4 linked regions of the Drosophila melanogaster genome follow. The gene in region 1 interacts genetically with each later gene. Each region holds a gene or a part of one and is shown in the gene's direction. Other genes may lie near its edges. The genes, in order: htt, Klc, not and E(Pc).

Region 1 (5,182 bases):
ATGCTTTTTTCACATATTTTATAGCATTGTATTCTTCTTGGCTGTCGCTTTGACGTCATCGGCTCTGATCATTGAGCGCACTGAGGTAAGTCGAGAAAATCTATCCTCTTTTGGGAATAATTATAATAAAATTTGCTTACTTCCATTCCAGGGCTTGTTGGATCGCTCCTGGGTGGCTGGCGTCTCGCCCTTCGAGATTCTATTCTCGCACGTGATCACCCAGTTCGTGGTGATGTGCGGACAGACCACTCTGGTGTTGATCTTCATGCTGGTGGTGTTCGGGGTTACCAACAACGGCGACCTATTCTGGGTCATCGTGCTGACCCTGTTGCAGGGCATGTGTGGAATGTGCTTTGGCTTCCTCATCTCCTCGGTGTGCGAGCTGGAGAGGAATGCCATACAGCTGGCGCTGGGCTCCTTCTATCCCACCCTGCTGCTGTCTGGAGTGATCTGGCCGATTGAGGGCATGCCCGTGGTGCTGAGGTGAGTTCTTGTGGTATTACTCTGTTGTGAATGGAAATTTAAAAAATCTTATCCCCCAGATACATATCACTGTGCCTGCCACTAACGCTAGCCACCTCTTCGCTGCGCTCCATCCTCACACGTGGCTGGGCGATACTGGAGTCGGATGTGTACATCGGCTATGTGAGCACGCTGTCCTGGATTGTGGGCTTCCTGGTGCTGACGCTTCTCGTGCTGCGAGCCAAACGCGGCTAGGATCTTCAGATATTACGCTACTTTTAGATGCCTAACTTTAGAACACGATAAGTCGTCCTAATTAGTTTACACCCACTTCGGGTCTTCTTCTTAATTCCACTTTCGAGTTTCACTTCCCTTCGTATCTGCCCAAATGTCATAAATTATTTAAGCACATTCGCAGCTTTCCTTAGCTTTCCACTCGGCACTCGTTTTTCCTTAGACTAAGTTCCGCACTTTCGTAGTTTAAAGCGTAAGGTTTAGGTACTCCTAAATGAAATGTTGTAAATATTTTGTGTCACGAATTCAGTAATCCGTTGCTCTAGATGTCCATTATTTGCAACCCTCTGTACTAGACCTTTTCTCGACGCCGACACGGGCAGTTTATCACATACAAACGCAACTAATTTTATATATTTTCAATGGACTGTGATTGTTTTTTCTACATAATTCACGCGAATACACGTAGGGCAAGCCTAAACAAAAAGAAAACACAATGAAAACGAACAAAAACAATGGTGGGTTTTGTTATTAACATTAAGTAGCTTAAAGCATTTTTGTATGGGTTTAAGTTTTTTAAGGTAAAACATAATTAAATACAATAATGTACGCAACCCTAAAGAGTATGTAAAAATATATTTCAGGAAATATTTTGCGCAGAGCATAAATATTTCACAACGAACAAACATAAGACAATGAACAACGAACAAGTGAAAAACGTTCTTATTTAAGTAAATATTAATGTGAACGCAGTTATGTATAAATAATAATAAAGCGTGAATAAATAAATAAAGTTAAATTTAATTGTTGGTTTACTTACATTTTGAAAAAGATGTTCTCATTTTAACATTGGCGCCAATGCACTGTTACTGTTTTCTAGCATGTCCATAACAGTCTTTTAAATGCAGGAAATAACAACTCATTGTGACCAACTGGCTGGAATTTAATAAATATGTTATCACTTCTAATTTTCTCCAAAACTAAAAAGATAATTTAGCAGGTTAGTTCAAAATTTAAATATTTAACGATAGCTAACTTGAATACCAGGGCTGGTCGCTGGTGTTCCGCTTAAAAGCAGTTGTGCGCTCTGGTAACACTGGCGTTACAGCTGATTGAAATCATAACAAAAGAGCAATGTTTTCCTGTGTTGTTTATGCTTAAAAAGCGATTTTAGGCGTTATTAAGGACGCGAAAATGGACAAATCCAGGTCCAGTGCGTACGACAAGTTCGTTGGCTTCGTGGAACAACTGCGAAATACGGAATGCAGGTGGGACTGAACGGAAATTTGATTGTTTTCGGTTGCATTGAATGTTTTGGGGAGGGGACCGGCAACAGTTTGTTGCTCATTACGGAACAATATTGATTAAATTATGAAGCCCAGGTGATTTCCGGTGGTTTTATTGCCCTTAAGATGAACCTGCCAACTTGTTAGGCCACCCAAAACATTCATTCAACATTGAGCAATAAGTGCATCCGCTATGACGTCATGCCACATACCTGTAATAAAACTAATTTATTTCGAACCCCCCACAGCCAAAAGCAGAAGATCACCTGCTTTCAGCAGATTGCCGAGTGCATCATGTCGCCCTCGCTGGCGGGCCACATCAACTATGCCGCCCACTGCGGCACGGCCACGAATGTTCTGCTGCTGTTCTGCGAGGATGTGGATTCCGTGGTTCGGATGAGCGCCGAGGAAAACCTAAATAAAATACTGAGGTCACTCGAGAAAACCCGGGTCAGTCGCATTCTTATGGATCTGTATGGTGAAATTAAGCGTAATGGTAACCAGAGGTAAGGAGGCAAATATATTAAAGCTAAAATAACAATCTTAAAAAAGAAAAACTTTCTGCACAGATCCCTGAGGATTTGCCTAAACCTTTTCTCCTACTATGCTCCACAAATAAAGGAGAAACACATCAAGTGGTATGCCGTGAGATTGCTCCAATGTATGACCACCATTTCCCAGCGCAAGGAGACGTTGCTCCAGGAGACTCTTTGCGACTTCGTCAAGCACTTTAGCCGCCATATACAACAGGGTCTCAGCGATAGCGAATCCTGCAAACTGTTCGAGGTAGAATAATATCCCTAAACGTCTTTTCTTTTTATGTTTAAGCGTTTGTTGACTTTTGCAGACTTTTCTGGACCAAATTAGCTCCGATTGTGCCGTCAAGCGTCGTTGCTCTGCCCAAAACTGCATGAGTCTGATTGAGAATGCACGCAATAGGAGCCTCATGGCCAGACATGGGGTCAACAAAGTGATGGGTAAGACAGCTTAAATAGGAAATGAATTTCTGAGAGAAATACGAAAAATCCATATGAACACTGCATCCTTACTAGCAACTATAGCAAATGAGAAGTTCGTGAGTGCTGTTATTTACTATTAGAAAAGGAATTTAAATTCAGCAGAATGATACACTTGTTTCAAAACTCTAGGGTCAGCTGTTATTGTTATTTCGCAAAGAGTAACACCATTAAATTTAACAATATTGCAGCCTTAATAACAGCCTCTATTGTTTGTACACTTTTGGATAAACGTATTCACTATTCGCTGCTATCGCTGTTAGTTATTTAACGCATTTTCGCTACGACACTTTGTGTTCAACAGGACGCTCTTTATATTCACATCAATAATGAAAGAGATGTTTAAAAAGCGTGTAACGGCCAAATACTAAGCCTCGCATAGATCGTCATATATATACATATATTGTTAGGTTCGTGCTGGCTCTGCAGCTAAAAAATATTTTTAATATTCTAAAAAGCCGCAAATCCATGAAAAATACCTTACCAAAATGTAAAGCCATCGAACTGCGAACTACGCGAGCGCGGGAATAGATGGTTTTTGGTTTTATTCAAACTCGAATTGTGAATGCAATCACAGCCATGGGTTTGTTTGTCTGTGGCCTGTGGGCGCTAAAGGGGGCGTGGCACAATAAAAGTAACTAGACAGTTGATATAAATTATATTTCTACAGTGCTGTTGGTTACCATGCGCAATCGATGGACGAGCCATCGAATGTACGAATATACACACATATATTTTTTCCAGATTTGTTTTGATTTTAGGCAACGATAGCGGGCAGTTTTTATTTTAACATTTGCTAACTGGCGGACTGCAGCAATAACTGCAGCGGCAAAAACAAAAGTCATGGCAACGTGAGCCATGCGAAAATGCTTAAAAATTGCAAACACAAATCATTTTTTATTGAATTTTCATGAAAATATTATTGGCAAACGTCGACGAAGAGGTAAATGCACCATAGTTACGTTACATTTGCCATCGTCTTTTTATGACCTGCTGCATTGTCCAACAAAAAATTAAGTTCAAACCTCAGAGGAGCTCGGTGTTTGGCATTTGCAAACAATTGAAGTGATATACCGGACTGGGAAAACTAATTCATTTGCTAGGACTACCTTTATGGAAGTCAAAATTCTGACCTCGCCCAAGTTCATATAAATTAAGCTTCGGCTTGACTCTTCCTTTGCTCTTTTCTTGTCCAAATGTTTACCTTCAAATCAACTCCTTTAGCTCCTGTTCCGGTTTCTAGCTCTGCTCCTTTCCCTGCCGCCTACCGGTCTTCTAGTCCTGTGTCAACTTTATGCCACTTCTCGGCAAAGGCACAATGCCAGGCAACTCTTCAGCGCATCCTTATACAGTCTGGCGCCTCTTTTTATGGGCACCCATCATAGTACTTGGGCTGCCTGTGTTCTGGCATGCCCCAACAAACAGACACAAAGTACGGTGCTCAGACCTCAGAACTCAGAGCTCAGAGCCGGGATCCTAGATCCCAGACCCCAGAACACAGACCGCAGAGCCGCCCTCGCCCACGCCATCTCCGTTTGTTTGTCTCCCCGCCCGTAGACGAAATGAAATTTATGCACTTGGACACTTCCATGCAATAATTCATGCGAAATTGAATCAGATATTCATTCCTGTGCAGCTTTAAAGCGGATAATCAACGTTGTAAACAAATGCCGGCCGAACGAGGCCAGCAAAGGAAAGTCGGCAGATGCAAAGGGGAGCTGGCAAAATTTATGTTGCCCACTGACTGATGCCGAGCTAAACAAAAAGTGCAAATTATTTTCCATGGCAACTTGGTATGGCAGCACAAATGGCACAATGACCAATTCATAATCTGAAAACGCTGCTGATCTCTTTGAAAACGTACTCCATGGCCCCCAGATTGTCCACCTGGTCGAGAATGTCAAAGTAATTATTTTCATTTTGACTTCATTTTGGGCTTCTACGTGTATGACAGCTGCAAAATTAATTAATATTCAGCTACAACTGTATATTCGTTTGTGTGTGTTAAAAAATATCGAAACAATTCTTATTTAAATTGTTTGATTTGTAATCAAATAATTGATAACATTTTTCTCTCAAACTTTGGGATTACTTGATTCTGACTGTGCACTTTGCAGTTAGTAGGCCTCAAACTAAACACCTCTATTCGGGTGGCTATTAATTGCAGTCCTCGAACGTGCCCAG
Region 2 (6,121 bases), on another chromosome or scaffold:
CACAATTTTTAATGGCGGCACTTTGAGTCCTCCGTTGTATAGGCTGTCGTTACTCTTGTAATCATCGCTGCACTCCGTTTCGTTCTCAATATCTACATTCTTACTAGTCTCCGCCGGCTCCTTTTCGGCATTGGAAGCGCTGCTTTTGTTTCCTGACGGGGATCCCTTCGTTGCAGCTAGCTTGGAGCTTTTCTCCACGCGCGATGTGAGCTTCAGGGAGGCCCCCTTCACGTCCTTTCCATGCTCCGAATCCTTGCGCTTCTTTTTCTTTACGTCCTCGCCAGATTCCTCGTAGTCCTCCTCTATGTCTGAGTAGCAGCGCTTGGCAGCCGAAGTTCCCTGATGATTCGTATCGCTGGATTTACCATCGTTGCTGCTCTCCTCCGCTGAAGATTTGTCTTTCGTGTCCAGGACCTCTTGCTTCTCATTCAGGCTGCCCTCGTCAGTCTCTGCGTCTCCTTTCTTGCATTCATTCTTCTTTAAGGTGGTGCGGGATGAATCTGCAAGAACGAGAATCTTATACATTACATTTGACGGCTGTGTGATTTAGTTTGGAAGATCATGTAGGAAGTAAAATGAAAGCTTATTGTCTATCGGATATCTTTTCGGGTGGAATTTGTAGTTATGTTTGAAGGAAAACCAACTAAAATGATTTTGTGTGAAAACTAAGAACTTAAGCATCGTTAAATGAGTTGTTTTTAATTTTGGTTTCTAAAGTATTAGCTCGGATAAGAGACAGGGTTTTTTTGACATCTTTACACATATTTCTTCAATAATAATTGGTATCTTCATTTGAATCAGTTAAATGACAATTTATCCGCAATCGAAACCAGTTTCTCGGATACTTTTACATTATTCCTGACTCTCAGATACATTTATGTATGTACATACGTAGATATGTACATGCATAGATGTATATGCGTGTAAGTATGTACGCAGCGAAGTACCCACGATGTAAATTGAAATTCAAGCCGACGAGCAAAAGTTCTAAGCTTTGTGACTGAACTATAAAATCCACTTGAATCATGTGAAAAGTAGACATTCACTTAATTATTTTGCTTATTTACCTGTCGACGAGTTGGCTGTCATTTGGATGAGCAGAGCCATTTGCTGCCTCTCCGACATTGGCGTGTTTGAGTTCGATCTGGGTTGGGTAGCTCCTGTATTAAATCCTATCCCCTTCGGTCTTGGGGGTGGCATACTCTTTTGTTCAGTTTTAGACGGTAAAAATTAAAATATAGAACAAAAACGGAGACTTGAAAAAGTCTTGCAAAATTTATTACAAAAAGAATAGTGCGACCGTATCGTGAATACAAAAATATGCCAGCTTGCTAATATAATAACGATGTTTTCAAATCCATTAAGTTAACAACAAATTAATTTATATATTATGTGTACAAATTTCAAGATACACCTTTAATTAGTTCCAAAAATTAAATTTTTTATTGAACTAAATCAATACCTGCTCCACCAAGGTATGTGCGTTTGTTGACCTCCAACATGTTATAGATGCTTACAAATAGCATGTTGCGCATTATTACTTTTAACTACTACTTTATTTATACTACATCTTAGCTATTATACGAAGTCTTATTGTTAGTCTACCCGATTTTTTCAGGAATTTTCATTTCTTTAGTTAGTGTTTCGATTCCACTGCGTTCTCCTCCCGACAGTGTGACCACTACTGCACAGTTGAAGAAAATCCTAGCTTGTCAAACACAATTCAACGCCCCGGCTACGGTCACACTCAGTTTTATTTTAGAAGTTTTGCAGTGTAAGATATTTTTATAGCAAATCTACGCACTATTTCGCTTATTTGAGGAGTTTGCAGAGCAAAACCGCTGGTAATAAGTTACAATATTTGAATGCACTGCGCGATAACTTGCATAATCATTTCCAACTGGATTTCGAACGACAAAATCCATTCACCCACACACAAACACATCTACTTGAGCTTATCTGTGTATGTACATATGTTGCACATAAATATAAGTGACTGCCACTTGAAGAAAAGTTTTTTACTGGAAAATATGATTCGTTTTACATAAATAATCAAGTCTAGTTGGAAAAGTGCTCGGCGGCAGCTCGTGTGGCAAAGTAAACACAAATGGAGGCCTAAGGCCTAAGTAATCGTTTAGCATGATAAATACTAAATACAATCTCTTAATGCCACTAACTTTTATGTTTAAGTGTTCATAGATATTATGTACAAAAAGTGACTCACTTTTTAATACACTGGAATTAGTGAGCTGGGGTGTTGTAACCCCATTTGCAATATTTATAATCTGACTATTCCAATCACAATATTTGGCGATCTTGATTAAGAATAAAGCTATTTTCTCGAAAATCAACTTACAATCTCATTTTACGCAATCTAGATTTCCGATTCGAAAGGCAAATGACTAAAGAAAACTATAATTTTGAATATGTTAGGGTACTAATAGCTTCGGTCTCTAAAAAACTATACAATTTATTTTAGTTGATGTAAGCAGCTACTTTTGCCATTCGTTTTTTGTTTATTGCATGACGCCAAGTGTAATTAACTTTCGCCCATAATTATAACCATAATAAACGAACTAAATGGCCTTAAACACTTTTTAACGAAGTGTCATGTTTATGTAAATCACACCGGCAATGTTGATAAATAATAAATAAAAGAAAGTTTTCAAAGCACAGTATTCGATATAAATCGAATATGCTTCCACCATTAGTTTCCAATTAGAAAACATAATTGAATGAACTGGAATTTGTTTGGCTTAAAAGTAAATTGAAGTTAACTTAATCCAGAAAGTTGATCCCTTACTTTTAATAGTTTCTGTAGTTTCTAAAAGTTATTGTTACAGCGAATGTAATAGCGCGGGCATTTTCGATTATCAACCACCTTTTTTAACGTGCATGCGCACTGCGAATTTTCTTTTTCATCGTATTGATTAACGCAGCTAGAATCGTTTAATATACGGTTAAAATGATTGTCTCCAAAGCTATCAAATCATACAGGATGTAAAACACATCAAATACCTCGATTAACACCTTTTAATTTTGATATCATTCATGTTGTTACACTTTCAGATGTCAGAGGGTTGTAGGAGCACTTACTAATCTGTATTTTGTATGTGTTTTGTAGACAGAAAATTGAGAAAATCGGCAAAATGACGCAAATGTCGCAGGACGAAATCATAACCAATACGAAAACAGTCCTTCAAGGCCTCGAAGCCTTGCGAGTGGAGCATGTTTCGATTATGAACGGAATCGCCGAGGTGCAGAAGGACAATGAAAAGTCGGACATGCTGCGAAAGAACATCGAGAACATCGAACTGGGCCTCAGCGAGGCCCAGGTGATGATGGCCCTGACATCCCATCTGCAGAACATCGAGGCCGAGAAGCACAAGCTTAAGACACAGGTGCGCCGCCTCCACCAGGAGAACGCCTGGCTTCGCGACGAGCTGGCCAACACTCAGCAAAAGTTCCAGGCATCCGAGCAGCTGGTGGCCCAACTAGAGGAGGAGAAGAAGCACCTGGAGTTCATGGCGTCCGTGAAGAAGTACGACGAGAATCAGGAGCAGGACGACGCTTGCGACAAGTCCCGCACCGATCCCGTGGTCGAGCTATTCCCGGACGAGGAAAACGAGGACAGACACAACATGTCGCCCACTCCGCCCAGCCAGTTCGCCAACCAGACTTCCGGCTACGAGATTCCAGCGCGTCTCCGTACTCTGCACAACCTGGTCATTCAGTATGCATCGCAGGGAAGGTAAGTCATCATCCATGCATTTTATTTTACTCGTGAGCACTAAAGAAACCCCTTACCTACAACATCGTTATCTATCAATTCATCATTAACTATAATAGCCTAATATATTTCTAGATACGAGGTAGCCGTTCCCCTCTGCAAGCAAGCATTGGAAGATCTCGAAAGGACAAGTGGTCACGACCATCCCGATGTAGCAACCATGCTGAACATTTTGGCTCTCGTGTACCGCGATCAGGTGCGTCTACGCTTTGATTAACTTAATTTATACAATCGTTAATTAACAACATCTCGTGCCATACAGAACAAGTATAAGGAGGCCGCCAATTTACTCAACGACGCTCTGTCGATTCGAGGAAAGACACTGGGCGAGAACCATCCAGCCGTGGCGGCCACGTTGAACAACTTGGCCGTCCTCTATGGCAAACGTGGCAAGTACAAAGATGCCGAGCCACTGTGCAAGCGTGCCTTGGAGATCCGAGAGAAAGTCCTGGGAAAGGATCATCCCGATGTTGCCAAGCAACTTAACAATCTCGCCCTGCTCTGCCAGAATCAGGGCAAATACGACGAGGTTGAGAAGTACTACCAGCGAGCTCTCGACATCTACGAATCAAAGTTGGGTCCCGATGATCCCAACGTGGCCAAGACAAAGAATAATCTGGCCGGCTGCTATCTGAAGCAAGGTAGATACACCGAAGCTGAAATCCTCTATAAGCAGGTCTTGACGCGAGCCCACGAACGTGAGTTTGGAGCCATCGACAGCAAAAACAAGCCCATTTGGCAGGTAATGTTGTGTTGTTGTGCTGTTATGCCTGGTAAATACTCAAAAGTTCCTTTTCTTACTACAATTTTCAGGTGGCTGAGGAGCGTGAGGAGCACAAATTCGATAACAGGGAGAACACTCCATATGGCGAGTACGGCGGTTGGCATAAGGCCGCTAAAGTGGATTCGCCCACGGTCACAACCACTCTAAAAAATCTGGGAGCACTTTACCGACGTCAAGGCATGTTTGAAGCGGCCGAAACCCTGGAAGACTGTGCAATGCGGAGTAAAAAAGAAGCCTACGATCTAGCTAAACAAACGAAGCTCTCACAATTGCTAACGTCAAACGAAAAGCGACGATCGAAGGCAATTAAAGAGGATTTGGATTTCTCTGAGGAGGTGAGTTTCAAAATCGAATCACTTAACTTAATTAACTTAAATTAATCATTCCCATTTATTCTTGCAGAAGAATGCGAAACCATAAAAATATTATTTGTTCATCGCCCACAACGGAATCTTTAAGTTTATGATTGAAAGCTAACAGCAAACACACACTTTATTTATTCATTCCTTAATATACATAAGCTCTCAAGCATACATTAGCAAATAAACAACGTTTTATACCTTGTTATTTCAAAAAATATGTACCGCTTTTAATAATAAACCAAATATATTTAACATAATCCTGTTTGTATTTAAACCTTCAAAACTAAACCAAAAATACGGACCAGATATAGCACATTACAGTGGAATCAGCTTAACATTTATTATTGATAACAAACAGTACGATTAGTTTGCCTACGATAACTGAGTATCAGTTAGTCGCTATCATTGTCATTTAAAATCGAGGAAACTATGCCTGCAAACTGCTCAGCCCGATCCAGAAATTGTTCCCGAGTGAGACTCGTATCGTTACGTAGATTTTGCGCCGTGAGGAGTAAGTTTTCAAAGTCCTTCAGCTGACTATCCAGCTCGTCGGCACTGATTTCCTCCTTGTGATCTGCAAATCAATAGGACGAAATGGATTATTGGTTTCTCAACTCAAATCCTGGGCACTAACCAGAACCAAACTTGACATTGGACCAAACTACGTTTTTCAAACCCTCCACAACTTCCTCGTAGTCCTTTTCAGCTTCATCTGGGTCACTCTCAACATTGCTTCTCAATGTTATGATGTCAAAAAGGAAATTCGTTTTCTCCTTAATTTCTCCAAAGGACAATCCACCTTCTTCTGAAGTGGAAGAGGTTAGCAGAAAGCCCAGCTGAATCTGTTCATTCTTCGCTAACGTCTTGGGAATAGTGTCGATAAAGGAGGTCTGCAAGTAATTGTAATATAATAGATATACTATTATTGCTTTTATAAACACTTACGTCTTGTGAATCAAAGTAAATAATCAACGCCTCGGTTGCTTGAAGAATTTTCTCCGGCACAGCTTCCAGTTTTCCAGAAAATGGAATTAAGTTGATAGAAGTGTTATAGTACTTGGTTTTAATGATGCACTTATAACAATTAAGTGAGCACTCCGTTGATGTTGATTCCTTCGATTGATTCACTTCAGATAAAATATCTGCAACAAAATGGAACGTATAAACGTAGTAGTAAACGTATTT
Region 3 (6,172 bases), on another chromosome or scaffold:
CACCAATCTCCGACTGAGATGCTCCGACGGGGCAATGGGCGACGGCAGCTCCAGCTCGTGCATTAGAAGTTTCCTCTTTCCCGAGCAAGTACCATTATCGGGCGTGCCAGGCGGCAGTCCGCATAGGTTTCTAATGGGTGAAAGGCAGCCGAAGCTACTTTCCCCGGATGCGGAATCCGACAGTCTGCCAGCGAACATTGTTTGCTTGCCCTGCGGACTGGAGCCCACCATGGACCTCGATGGCTCTGCCGTGTCCTGTTCGCCCAAAACAATGACATTGTGCAGATCGAAGAGTTTCCGGCGCATGGAACTATTAAAGATGTCGGGACCACCACTTGACTTGCTCCTGCCAGACAAGCGGCCAGCCAAATGTGGCTGGAAGTACGGACGCAGGGCATCCTCTAGGGCTTTTGGCAATATCGGCGGCAAAGTAAGTTCCGTTTGCACCTCGCAATCCCGCATCCTTCGCGACTTATTCGATATGGGAGTGTTGTCCTCGCTGCAATTGAGTATTATGCGCTGTTTTCGCAATGGGCAATCCACCGGACTGGGCACAATGAGTGACTCCTTGAAAAAGGCACTGATGGCCAACTGGGCCTTGGATTCCTGCTCGGGATCGGGGGAATCGTGGAACTGGGTTTCATGGGGCTCCACGTCGGCGGGTTTTAGTTGGGAGACCTCGTCAATGTTCCACTCGAACTGGGTGGACGAGAGTTGGGGTGTCCGCGAGCGGAAAAGTGAGGGGCTGCCAGGAAAAGAGAGGGTCGCGTTAAGAGGATTTTTCGAGCAGACGAAAAACTCACCTGGCGATCAGTGGCAGGTGTAAACGATCGGCCATCGCTCCTTCGAAGGGATTCCGCACCTTGTGCAGCCTTTTCGGGGGCGGGGTGCACACATTTCCCGACATCTGGGGGCTGTATTTTCCATTTTCTTTGCCGCCATTCGTTGGCGTTGCCGACGCCGCCGACGAGTTGCTGCTGTTCGAGTGGCTGTTACGGCGCGCCCGGCACTTCAATCCGTTCACATTTGTAATGTATCGATTCTTGAGGGCTTGCGGCGTTCGCACCTCGTCGTTGTACATCTTTTTCAGTCACTAAGTCGCCTAATTTCGACTTAAAATAAAACAAGCGCGCCTGCTGCGACTCGCAGGCAGATGTCGGTATTTTCAAATGCAGCAGTGTTGTATAGCGATGCAGCGGAGTTATCGAATCGTTGGCAATTCGAAAAGCAGAATGCGAAAGTGAGGGATGTTCAAGGAAAAAAAGGTGCTAACGACTGATTTGTCACTTAATATTTATTTATTCGCATATCTAAAAGTGCCTGCAAATTATTTCGACTCCCGTCTAACTTTTAGTATTTTTATTTTGCGCGCCACCCGCTGCTTGCTGTCGATAACACATCAGCTGGGCGACTTTAACCGTTTTATAATAAAATGGGACCAGTCTAAAAATAAAGAATGGTTACTGGTATACAAAATTGTATCCCATTATAAACTTGAGGAATAAGTAGCTCGTAATTATCCGAATATGGATGCATTTCAATATTTGGGCTGCTAGAACCTTTTATTGTTCCTATAACCCGAATAGAGATTCCATTTCAATATAACTTTATCTTGAATGGTTTAGTTTACTTTCTATTTAAACTAATATTCCGTTTTAAATGTTTCAATACTCTTATATTAGAAAAATACCAATGCCAACATCTGAGTACGATTTCGCAACTGGTCACACTGACAGCTGTCTTCTACCAACACATATGCGCGCGTGTGTATGTGTTTGCGTGCAGTGCGAAATAGAAACAAGAAAAGCAAGCGAAAAATCACAGAAATTCACAAAAAAAAAGCCCAACTACTTCCAAAATTGGGCCGCCCGGCGAAGAACCGCAAAAGTGGCCAAAATTCGGCGAAAACAGCGCAAGTGTGACAAAGCATTCGTGCCGCTGCAGTCGTCGGCGAAACGGGCGAAAACAAAAGAGAATAGTGTTGATAGTAATACGAGCGTATTTAGCAGTAGCAGCAGCAGCAGCAGTGGCCGAAGCTTCGGCAGGGGAACGGAACGGTGGGCGGTGGGTGCAGAAGCGGGCCGGGGAACGGCCGAGAACGAAACACTAGCAGTAGCAGCAGCAGCAGCGACAACAACAAATGCCGGTCGCTTTATCACCGCCGATCTAATCAAAACAGTTAACAGCGACAAGCAGCGAGACAGAGTAGCAAAGGGCCACAGGGACGCGAAAAACCCCCTAGATGCCACCAAACATTTGCGCCTATCGGACTGCTTGCGTACCGTGCAAAAACTTGCTATTGAACTTGAGAGCGCCGACGCCGGCAGCGACGCCAGCGCCCAAGCCAACGCTAGCGCCGACGCCAGCAGCGCCGTCATGTCCGAGACGGGTTGTCGGCACTATCAAAGCTATGTGAAGGAGCACAGCTACGATACATTCCGGGTCATCGACGCCTACTTCGCTGCTTGCGTCAACAGAGATGCGCGCGAGCGAAAGGTGAGTTCAGTAGCGTGGAAGAGAGTGGGAGCTAGAATGAGTGCGCTACTGGCGTGGTGAGGTGAGAATGTGCGAGTGTGCGAAGGGGAGAACGCAATTACAATCAGAGGTGCGCCGTGAGTCACGTGAAAGGTCACTGACACCCCGGCTGTGGGATGACAGTGGCAGACAACGCACCGTTCTCACCACAAAGCAGTGCGGACTTTTTTGAATGGGTAAAGCATGCAACAGCTGTTTTAACAGCTGACAAATTGGCACTGTGAAAAATACTTTTGCATCGAAAAAGTTTTGTTTTCATTACGGTGAAATTACATATCAAGAAAAATATATTCAAAATATTTAATATTGTTACATGGCTTTTGTATTTTTAGCTTCATATTGATTATATATTATATTGCTTACGAGATTTAGAGTTTTCAAATTTTTGTTACACTTTTATGCATTTAGTATGGGACGTATTTTTTGTAAAGTTAATGGGATTAGAAAAAAAACGAATATAATTTTTTATCAGCTGCCATTTTAAAATCTACCTCCGCCAGGCTATTCACTGCAACTGCTTCGAGTGCGGCAGCTACGGCATCCAGTTGTACGCTTGCCTGCACTGCATCTACTTCGGATGTCGGGGGGCCCACATCACGAGTCACCTGCGATCCAAGAAGCACAATGTGGCCCTGGAGCTGTCCCACGGAACGCTCTACTGCTACGCCTGCAGAGATTTCATCTACGACGCGCGGAGTCGCGAGTATGCGCTGATCAACCGCAAGCTGGAGGCGAAGGATCTGCAGAAGAGCATCGGCTGGGTGCCGTGGGTTCCCACAACCAAGGAGACCAATCTGCTGCTGGCCAATGCGAGGCGTCGGCTGGTGAGGCCCAATCAAACGATCGGACTGAGGGGTCTGCTTAATCTGGGCGCCACTTGCTTCATGAACTGCATCGTCCAGGTGGGCAAATCCAATTAAACTGGCGAGTCTCCTCTCACTGACTTACTCCTGTCTCCTCTAGGCTCTGGTTCACACGCCCCTGCTCAGCGATTACTTTATGTCAGATCGTCACGACTGCGGCAGCAAGTCATCGCACAAATGTCTCGTTTGTGAAGTGTCACGTCTCTTCCAGGTGAGTTCAATATGCTGTGGTGTTTATGAGGAGTCTTTTCTATTCGATATGCTATCCCCCTTTGTAGGAGTTCTATTCCGGCTCCCGTTCGCCGCTGTCGCTGCACCGGCTACTGCATTTAATCTGGAACCATGCGAAGCACTTGGCCGGCTACGAGCAGCAGGATGCGCACGAGTTCTTCATCGCCACTCTGGACGTGCTGCATCGGCACTGCGTGAAGGCAAAGGCGGAGCACGAAAGCAAGAGCAACAGCTCTGGCTCGGGAAGTGGAACCAATTCCAGCAACTCGAGCAGCTCGCATTGCTACGGCCAGTGTAATTGCATCATTGACCAGATCTTCACGGGCATGCTGCAGAGCGATGTGGTGTGCCAGGCCTGCAACGGAGTGTCCACCACGTACGATCCGTTTTGGGACATTTCGCTGGACCTGGGCGAAACAACAACGCATGGTGGTGTTACTCCAAAAACGCTGATAGACTGCCTGGAGCGGTACACTCGGGCCGAGCATCTCGGATCGGCGGCCAAAATCAAGTGCTCTACCTGCAAATCCTACCAGGAGTCCACCAAACAGTTCAGCCTGCGCACTCTGCCCAGCGTGGTGTCGTTCCATTTGAAACGCTTCGAGCACTCAGCTCTGATCGATCGCAAGATCTCCTCGTTCATTCAATTCCCCGTGGAGTTCGACATGACGCCCTTTATGTCGGAGAAGAAGAACGCCTACGGCGACTTCCGGTTCTCTCTGTACGCCGTGGTCAATCATGTGGGCACCATCGACACCGGCCACTATACGGCGTATGTGCGGCACCAGAAGGACACGTGGGTCAAGTGCGATGATCATGTGATAACGATGGCATCGCTCAAGCAGGTGCTGGACAGCGAGGGGTAAGAATGACCAATATATTACAACTTTATCACCGCAAAAGCAGCATTCAATGTTAACTTACTTAAGTTGATTTCACGTCTTATCTTAAATTCATATACAACGTTATTTAGCTTTTTATTCGGATTATCAAATCATTATTAACTAACTACTTATTTTCACTTCTTTCAGTTATTTATTGTTCTACCATAAAAATGTGCTGGAATACGAGTAAGAAAATCCGCTGAGATCGATTAAAGCAGCGACTGCATCCCTCAAAAAACAAAAGCAGAAAACAGAAGTCAATGCATTACGAATTACGAATAAACACAAAATACAGACAAGGACGCGGCAGCGCTTACATATTAAGTAATATTAACACAAACACGAAAGCAATCCTACAATTTGAGGAGTGTTCATTTGATTCGATTGGGGTTATTCAAGCTCACAAACTCAAAACATTGGAACGAACAATGGAGAACAAAAAAAAAGGAAATTAATGAAAATGTAATCAATCTGAACACTCGATTTGTGGAGATACCCGTTTTGCTCTAAGTATTTCAAATCCATAATACTAAAAACAAAATCAAAAACAACAAGCAGATGACTTATACATTTATATTTAAAAATCAAACAAGGGATATTCTACAAACGCCGTATTACAAATGGAAAGCGAATTTTTATCATTTTTCTTGAAATGCCTTTTATTGAAAAAAAAAATGTTAAAAACTCATTTTCAGACACATCCGTTATAACTGAACCAAAATCCAAATCATGCTTATGAATGTCATGGATTTTTTTTATTTCGTCTTCATTTAAATAAGGAGAGCAATAATTGTAAATTTAAATACTTACATTTTTGGGGGCTTAGGAAACTGGGATTAAGATACATTGCAATTATTTAAAAAACAAAAAAAAATTACAACCGACGTCAACTTGGGCTCGTCCGGGAATTGAACCCGGGACCTCTCGCACCCGAAGCGAGAATCATACCTCTAGACCAACGAGCCTGCGGTACTGGGAGCGATCAGAATGACGCTTTTTAATGTGCGAGCCCTCTCACTCCATCGCTCTGCCTTGTGCTATGAGCAGGCTAAAAAGAGACAACTATAGTGTGCGCTTGGTTCGAACGCTTGCTTACTTATTCGATGCACAAACCACATTGAATGTTATCTGGGAATATAATATGCTATTTATGAGCATACATTTTTTAATTCCGTGTAATGAGAACCTACTCTTGTTGGATAAAATCCAATTGTCTAATTAAACTTTTCACAGTCACAGCTATACATAATTGTTCCTCAATTTTCGTGAGGAATTTTATTTATTTTAAGGTATAAAATCCTTTTTCTGAGACTACCATCTTCTGAGCTTGAATTATTATTAATTTATTAAAGGAAATGTATATTTTATCGGGTCAATTACCTTATCGATAAGATCGGGAGCTTTGCAATACTGTCGCAGTTGGAAAAAGTCTAGGTGTCGTCAGAACGCGGATTAAAATGTAGTTTCAAAAGTCGTACAATTATCCCAACTTCAAGTAAAATGGCTGCATATGCGAGCGCAAGAGGCAAAATTATTATCAACGCTGCCCAAAACATCCAGAACTAAGCAGCCAAAATGTTAAAACAAACGGTTAATATGCATGCTCATATGATTTTGCCGCAGATGAATTTTTTAATGTACGCTCGACAATGCGCTTTT
Region 4 (5,259 bases), on another chromosome or scaffold:
ATCTAAATAGTGCTTCCCGCCACTCACCTCAATTCGCCATTTCACCCACTCACCCCAACTCACCACACCAAGTGGCGCACGCGCCACAAATTCCACCAGTGGCGTACGCAGGATTCTCTCAAAGGGGCTTGAAAATATTTTCTTATTTTCATTTAATTCTGTAATATGCTGAAGAAGAAGAGCCCTCTCCCTGCGCACGCCACTCTCTTCAACCACCAACACGGTTGCGCAGCCGCGACAGAGAGATATGCCTTCGCTCTCTCGCAGCTGCGCCACGCCCACCACCCACAGCCACCCACGAAAATGGTGCTTTTTCACATACGACACCACTGTCTGACTATATTTTTCATCATGTACGCCATCGCAATCCATGCCACAGTGGTCGCAATGCCGCGACAGCCGCTCCACAAGTGCCACCAAATACTATTTTATTTGTGTATTTATTTTCACCGAAAATGAATTCCTGCACTTTGTGGGCGGCAGGCGCGCGTGCATTGCCGAGCATCTGAAACGTCGAGGGTAGAGATGAAAATATCGGGCGCCGCCTGTCACCGGCGAGTATTACCCAATATAAATCGCTAATGGCCACAGGCGGTCGCCGCCCCAACTGTAATTGTGAACGTCCGTGCGGCCATTGCCCAAAAATGATTACATAATACGATCGAACGAACCGAATGAGAAGCCAAAGAACTAAGGATACGAAAGCAGCTGAAATAACGTTGGAGGATCGGCGCGGGATTTTGGCAAATCGAGCTTCTTCTGCTTGGGGCTTTTCAAGCATAAGGCTTTGAGGCTTTCTTTTTACTAAGCAGGTGCTTCCAACTCGCTTTGCTGGACAAATGCCCGACATAAGTTACCATTCAAAATCGCTTGGCCAAATCAGCATTACCCCCACAAATTGTTAAGGACTAGCGAGTAAATTTTAATCGTATTCTCGAATATAAATTGAGCAAACTTTAAGTCAACGAGCACATTTGAAACTATCAAGACATTGTAACCAGCAAATAAACAAAGTTAAGCAAAACAGCGAGTACGAAAAGCCTTGTAAGAGATTATAATAAAACAAAAGCATTTAAAGGAAGTTACAAAGTGGAGTTATTATTATTTGTATGCTGTATGCACAAGTTTAATTTAAAGAATCCAAATAAAATTCTAAGCTATCCAGCACACAAAATAAAACAAAAATTGTTTTACTCATTTAATAACTATATCTATAATGTCGACTGTTCAGCAAACAAGTTGTAAATACAAATTTGAATTAACAATTTTTTATAAATTTCGAATGTTAAAGCCCATGCGTTAGCACATCTTTGCCGATGCCGCAATTGTGAGTGTTTCCGATAGCTCGCACGAAATGCACTAGCGCATGAGCACTCCGAATTATTTGCACACCACTAGCTGGGCACCTGGTGAATGGGGCTGCGTAAATTAACAACAAAATAAATAAATGCAGCTTGGCCCCGGCTATCCAAATGTATGCATGCGACCCCTCACAAAATTCCACAGATTTAGATGAAAACCGCACTCAAAACGGTTAACTATTTCGCCTGGAGGCCTAGCCAAAATAATTTCGCCACTGTGGCGACGATTTCGTTCGACTCCGACAACTCCGAATTTTCATTCGTAATGGCCGCCCATAAGTAAAAACGTGTCCCGCTGCTGAAGAACGATTATACGCGTTTGCGCTAAGCCAATTGCTTGAATTTAGCTGTAAACGGTGCGGCAGTGGTAAATACGCTGAAAACCACATCATTTAATCATATAAGAGGCCCCAACGCCCGGCAAAGAGTGTGAAAAAAGTGCGTGAAAAAATCTTAATCGATTTTTTTGTTTGTGAAAAAAAAATCATGCAGCGTTGGGCATAGTGCTCGAAGAGCTCGCCAGGGGGCGCTGACAAACTGTTCGGAGTGTCATCGGAATAAGAGGCCGGCTATTTAGCGCTGCCAACGGCGATTAATCGATAACCGTAGCGGTTTTGAAATATATATTTTGAAAGGAAAACGTCATGTTAGAGCAATTTAAAAATTCTAGCAGTAAATATTTAATTTTTGCCCATATATGACAGGGCCCTGCAGTGAAATTGCGGCAATTAAATCGACGACCGCTTATCGTTATCGCCGCCGACGGCACAAATAAATCGCGGCCCCGCTGTCCGCGGCGTCGTCGGTGTTCGGCTCTCTGGCCGCCATTATTGCTTTCCAGCGAAACCACGCTATACGCAAAATCGGGTTTATATGTGTAAATTTTTCGGGCGATTTATCAACCAGATTGCGTTCGCTGATGCATGAAAAGTGCGGTAAAGTGTGTAAAAAATTAGCGCTGGCCCAGAAAAACATACGCACTCGATGGCTGATTACTAATTAACTAGATAAAAGCAAAAAACAAAACCCACATGAGGCGGAGTTTGATTGCGTTTTTTTTTCTCACTTAACAGAGTTCTGTACAAACAAAATGTTAGCTAACAGGGCTCTGCAAAGTGAAATATCTCGCGGAAAAGGCAGTATTAAATTCGCCGCGTTTGTTTGAGATGTGTGTTTGCGCGCGTGTGTTTGTTTATGCCGCCTTTTTCTTCGTCTCGGCTTTCTATGATTTTGCATTTTATCGCATTTAAATAAAAAAAAAAAATCATGACTCATGCGGATCGTGTTTTTGTGCGTGTTAATATTAATTTAATGCAAAAGCAAAGAAATATACAAATGTATGTGGATTTGTGAGTTTTTTCCCGCGCGCGCCGCCCTCACATATCAATGTATGCGTGTGTGTGAGAGTTGTTTACTTACTAGTTTTTGTTGTTGTTATCAATTCTAGATTTTTTATCAGCCAACCGATAACACGACAGCCAAGGCGAAATAATAATAAATAATAACAAGAAGAGGAAGTCAACAAATAAGCAAAAGAAAGAAGAACACAATATTGATTTAACCTAAAACGATGATGAACTGAAATGTGCAAATTTGATGAACGTAATTATGCCAATTCACACAGAACCTTCGATTTCAACGTGAAAAATGTCGTCGACACATTTGCTGCATTCACTGTCACTGTTGTTGCTACCACTGCGTTGTCGTCGTAATTGCCACCAGATCGTTTCCTTGGCCATTGTCCTGCTGTCGGCGCTGTCAGCCAGAGCTCCCGAGGATCAAGGAGGACGACAGGAGAGGGAGGCGGAGGAGGAGGACGAGCGGCAGGCGGACCGCCGGGAGAGTGTCCAGGGGGAGGAGGAGGACACGCCCTACATAGTCGCCAATCCACACCCAATCCTCACTAGCAGTAGCACTACGTCTTCGGCCAGGGCAACGGGCACAGGGGCTGCGTTAACCAGCTGGCAGAGCAGCCACAGCCACCGCAGCCCCGGTGCTCACGATCGGGATCGGTGTCAGGAACAGGAACAGGATCAGAAGCAGCAGCACCTTTTCTACCCCAGCAAGCCCCATCTCCAGCTAACGTATACAGCCCCCTCGACATCGAGTAGAGGAGCCAACACAACGCCGACCACGAATCGGAGTAGATCCTCCAGAATCCAAATTAGCAGTTGCAGCACTAGTCCTGCCCACTGCAGTTGGACCGCCGGAGCAATCGTAGCCTCCTTAGCATCCATAGCCACCTAAGCAGTCGATTCCACTAGGCAAACTCTCAAATCAGCCACAGCAACAGCAAATAGAAACGTTCCACACACCACAACAACCCAACCCAAAACCACCCACAACCAAAACCCAAACAAAAGCCAGCAAGATGTCCAAGCTGTCGTTCAGAGCCCGCCATTTGGATCCGTCCAAGCAGATGCCCATCTACTTGGCGGAGGAGCTGCCCGACCTCCCCGAGTACTCAGCCATCAACCGGGCAGTGCCTCAAATGCCCAGTGGCATGGAGAAGGAGGAGGAGTCGGTAGGAAGTTTCTCAGTGATCCTTTATTTTGGATGAAACTAATTTTGTCCCTTATCCCTTGTAGGAGCACCACTTGCAGCGAGCGATATGCACGGGTCTGATCATCCCCACGCCCGAGGTGCTGCAGACGGATCAGCCCTTCTACGATGCCTACTATCCGCCGGACTACAAAATGCCCCGCCAAATGATCCACATGCAACGTAAGCAAAAAGCAACTACTAGAGCAGAATAATTCGTTTCGTTTCGGGCTTAGAACATTATTTTTAAATTCCATATCAATATTGAATGAAATGCAATAACTTATGTAGTTTCGTATTATTCTTGGACTAATTTTTTACAATTGTTTAACTCTCAGCTCTTGGGCTGGATACCGAGGTCCCTGACTACGACATGGACAGTGCCGATGAGGACTGGCTCAGTCAGCAGCAGCGCCTGGAGCTTACCGAACTCAAGTTCGAGCAGATGATGGACCGGCTAGAAAAGAGCTCCGGCCAAACGGTGGTCACGCTGAACGAGGCCAAGTCGCTGCTTAACCAGGACGACGAGACCAGCATATCCGTCTACGATTACTGGCTGAACAAACGCCTCAAGATGGTAATAAACACTTAGCTTGGCTATTGGCTACGGCAATATACTAAATCAACTATCTTATTCATTCTCTAGCAACACCCGCTGATCCTCACTGTGAAAACTGAGAGTCGACCAGGCGCCAGCTCCAACAATCCGTACTTGGCTTTTCGTCGTCGCACCGAGAAAATGCAAACCCGCAAAAATCGAAAGAACGATGAGGCCTCCTACGAAAAGATGCTCAAGCTGCGGTAAGAATCGAGTGAAGTTTGCCTAAAGTCGGTTGAGAAATTTTTAAATGCTGGCTAATCGGGCTACACTGCAATTACTGGACACAGAACTTGCAAACATTTTCTTTCTCTGTATCATATAAATTCAATTCCTGCCCGATTTAAATGCAGGTTTTTTATGCATGATATCCTTAATCAGGAATTTTCCCATATACAACATTTTGTTTATAAAAAGCCAGGTAGTTTTCGTTAGCCAGCATATTTTATTGCCCAGCTTTTCATACCTGACCCTAACTAATCCACTCTTTCCCTGTCCTCTAGACGTGACCTGCAGCGCGCCACCACTATACTGGAGATGGTGAGGCGACGCGAGGAGACGAAGCGCGATCATCTCAAGATGACGGTGAACATCTTCGAGAAGCGCGTTGAGATGCGCGACTTCAACGGTGCTGTCTACTCCGAGCTGAATTCTCAGTACAAGAACACAAGGTGCGTTTTCGGACACCTTTTACTTATGAAGAAAGGTACTGAAATACTCCTTGTTTATTTGCAGACCCGCGTATAATCCATTGTATAC

What was found.
Region 2: of htt (region 1) and Klc, changing one enhances a phenotype caused by changing the other (phenotypic enhancement), as found in Drosophila melanogaster (one study listed by BioGRID).
Region 3: of htt (region 1) and not, changing one enhances a phenotype caused by changing the other (phenotypic enhancement), as found in Drosophila melanogaster (one study listed by BioGRID).
Region 4: of htt (region 1) and E(Pc), changing one suppresses a phenotype caused by changing the other (phenotypic suppression), as found in Drosophila melanogaster (one study listed by BioGRID).

What each region holds. Positions count from the first base shown.
Region 1 is NT_033777.3:28,694,442-28,699,623, forward strand, and holds the start of htt (huntingtin), read left to right. Parts: upstream 1-1,800; 5' UTR 1,801-1,890; coding exon 1,891-1,964; intron 1,965-2,230; coding exon 2,231-2,488; intron 2,489-2,551; coding exon 2,552-2,768; intron 2,769-2,829; coding exon 2,830-2,959; intron 2,960-5,182. Other genes in the region: snu (snustorr), read left to right, coding at 25-85, 152-483, 543-717.
Region 2 is NT_037436.4:12,745,686-12,751,806, reverse strand, and holds Klc (kinesin light chain), read left to right. Parts: upstream 1-1,750; 5' UTR 1,751-1,844; intron 1,845-1,967; exon of another isoform or gene 1,968-2,097; intron 2,098-2,908; exon of another isoform or gene 2,909-3,000; intron 3,001-3,124; 5' UTR 3,125-3,149; coding exon 3,150-3,751; intron 3,752-3,865; coding exon 3,866-3,986; intron 3,987-4,052; coding exon 4,053-4,532; intron 4,533-4,603; coding exon 4,604-4,909; intron 4,910-4,976; coding exon 4,977-4,994; 3' UTR 4,995-5,191; downstream 5,192-6,121. Other genes in the region: CG10984 (uncharacterized protein), read right to left, coding at 1-500, 952-1,005, 1,068-1,200; CG32109 (uncharacterized protein), read right to left, coding at 5,329-5,510, 5,571-5,826, 5,882-6,078. UniProt on the Drosophila melanogaster protein: Kinesin is a microtubule-associated force-producing protein that may play a role in organelle transport. The light chain may function in coupling of cargo to the heavy chain or in the modulation of its ATPase activity.
Region 3 is NT_037436.4:18,617,696-18,623,867, reverse strand, and holds not (non-stop), read left to right. Parts: upstream 1-1,738; 5' UTR 1,739-1,755; coding exon 1,756-2,496; intron 2,497-3,035; coding exon 3,036-3,437; intron 3,438-3,498; coding exon 3,499-3,609; intron 3,610-3,676; coding exon 3,677-4,491; intron 4,492-4,660; coding exon 4,661-4,703; 3' UTR 4,704-5,062; downstream 5,063-6,172. Other genes in the region: bora (aurora borealis), read right to left, coding at 1-745, 804-1,081. UniProt on the Drosophila melanogaster protein: Histone deubiquitinating component of the transcription regulatory histone acetylation (HAT) complex SAGA. Catalyzes the deubiquitination of histone H2B, thereby acting as a coactivator in a large subset of genes.
Region 4 is NT_033778.4:11,450,585-11,455,843, forward strand, and holds the start of E(Pc) (enhancer of polycomb), read left to right. Parts: upstream 1-1,604; 5' UTR 1,605-1,799; intron 1,800-2,184; exon of another isoform or gene 2,185-2,301; intron 2,302-2,808; 5' UTR 2,809-3,732; coding exon 3,733-3,885; intron 3,886-3,949; coding exon 3,950-4,085; intron 4,086-4,240; coding exon 4,241-4,479; intron 4,480-4,548; coding exon 4,549-4,703; intron 4,704-5,003; coding exon 5,004-5,171; coding exon of another isoform or gene 5,172-5,206; intron 5,207-5,235; coding exon 5,236-5,259.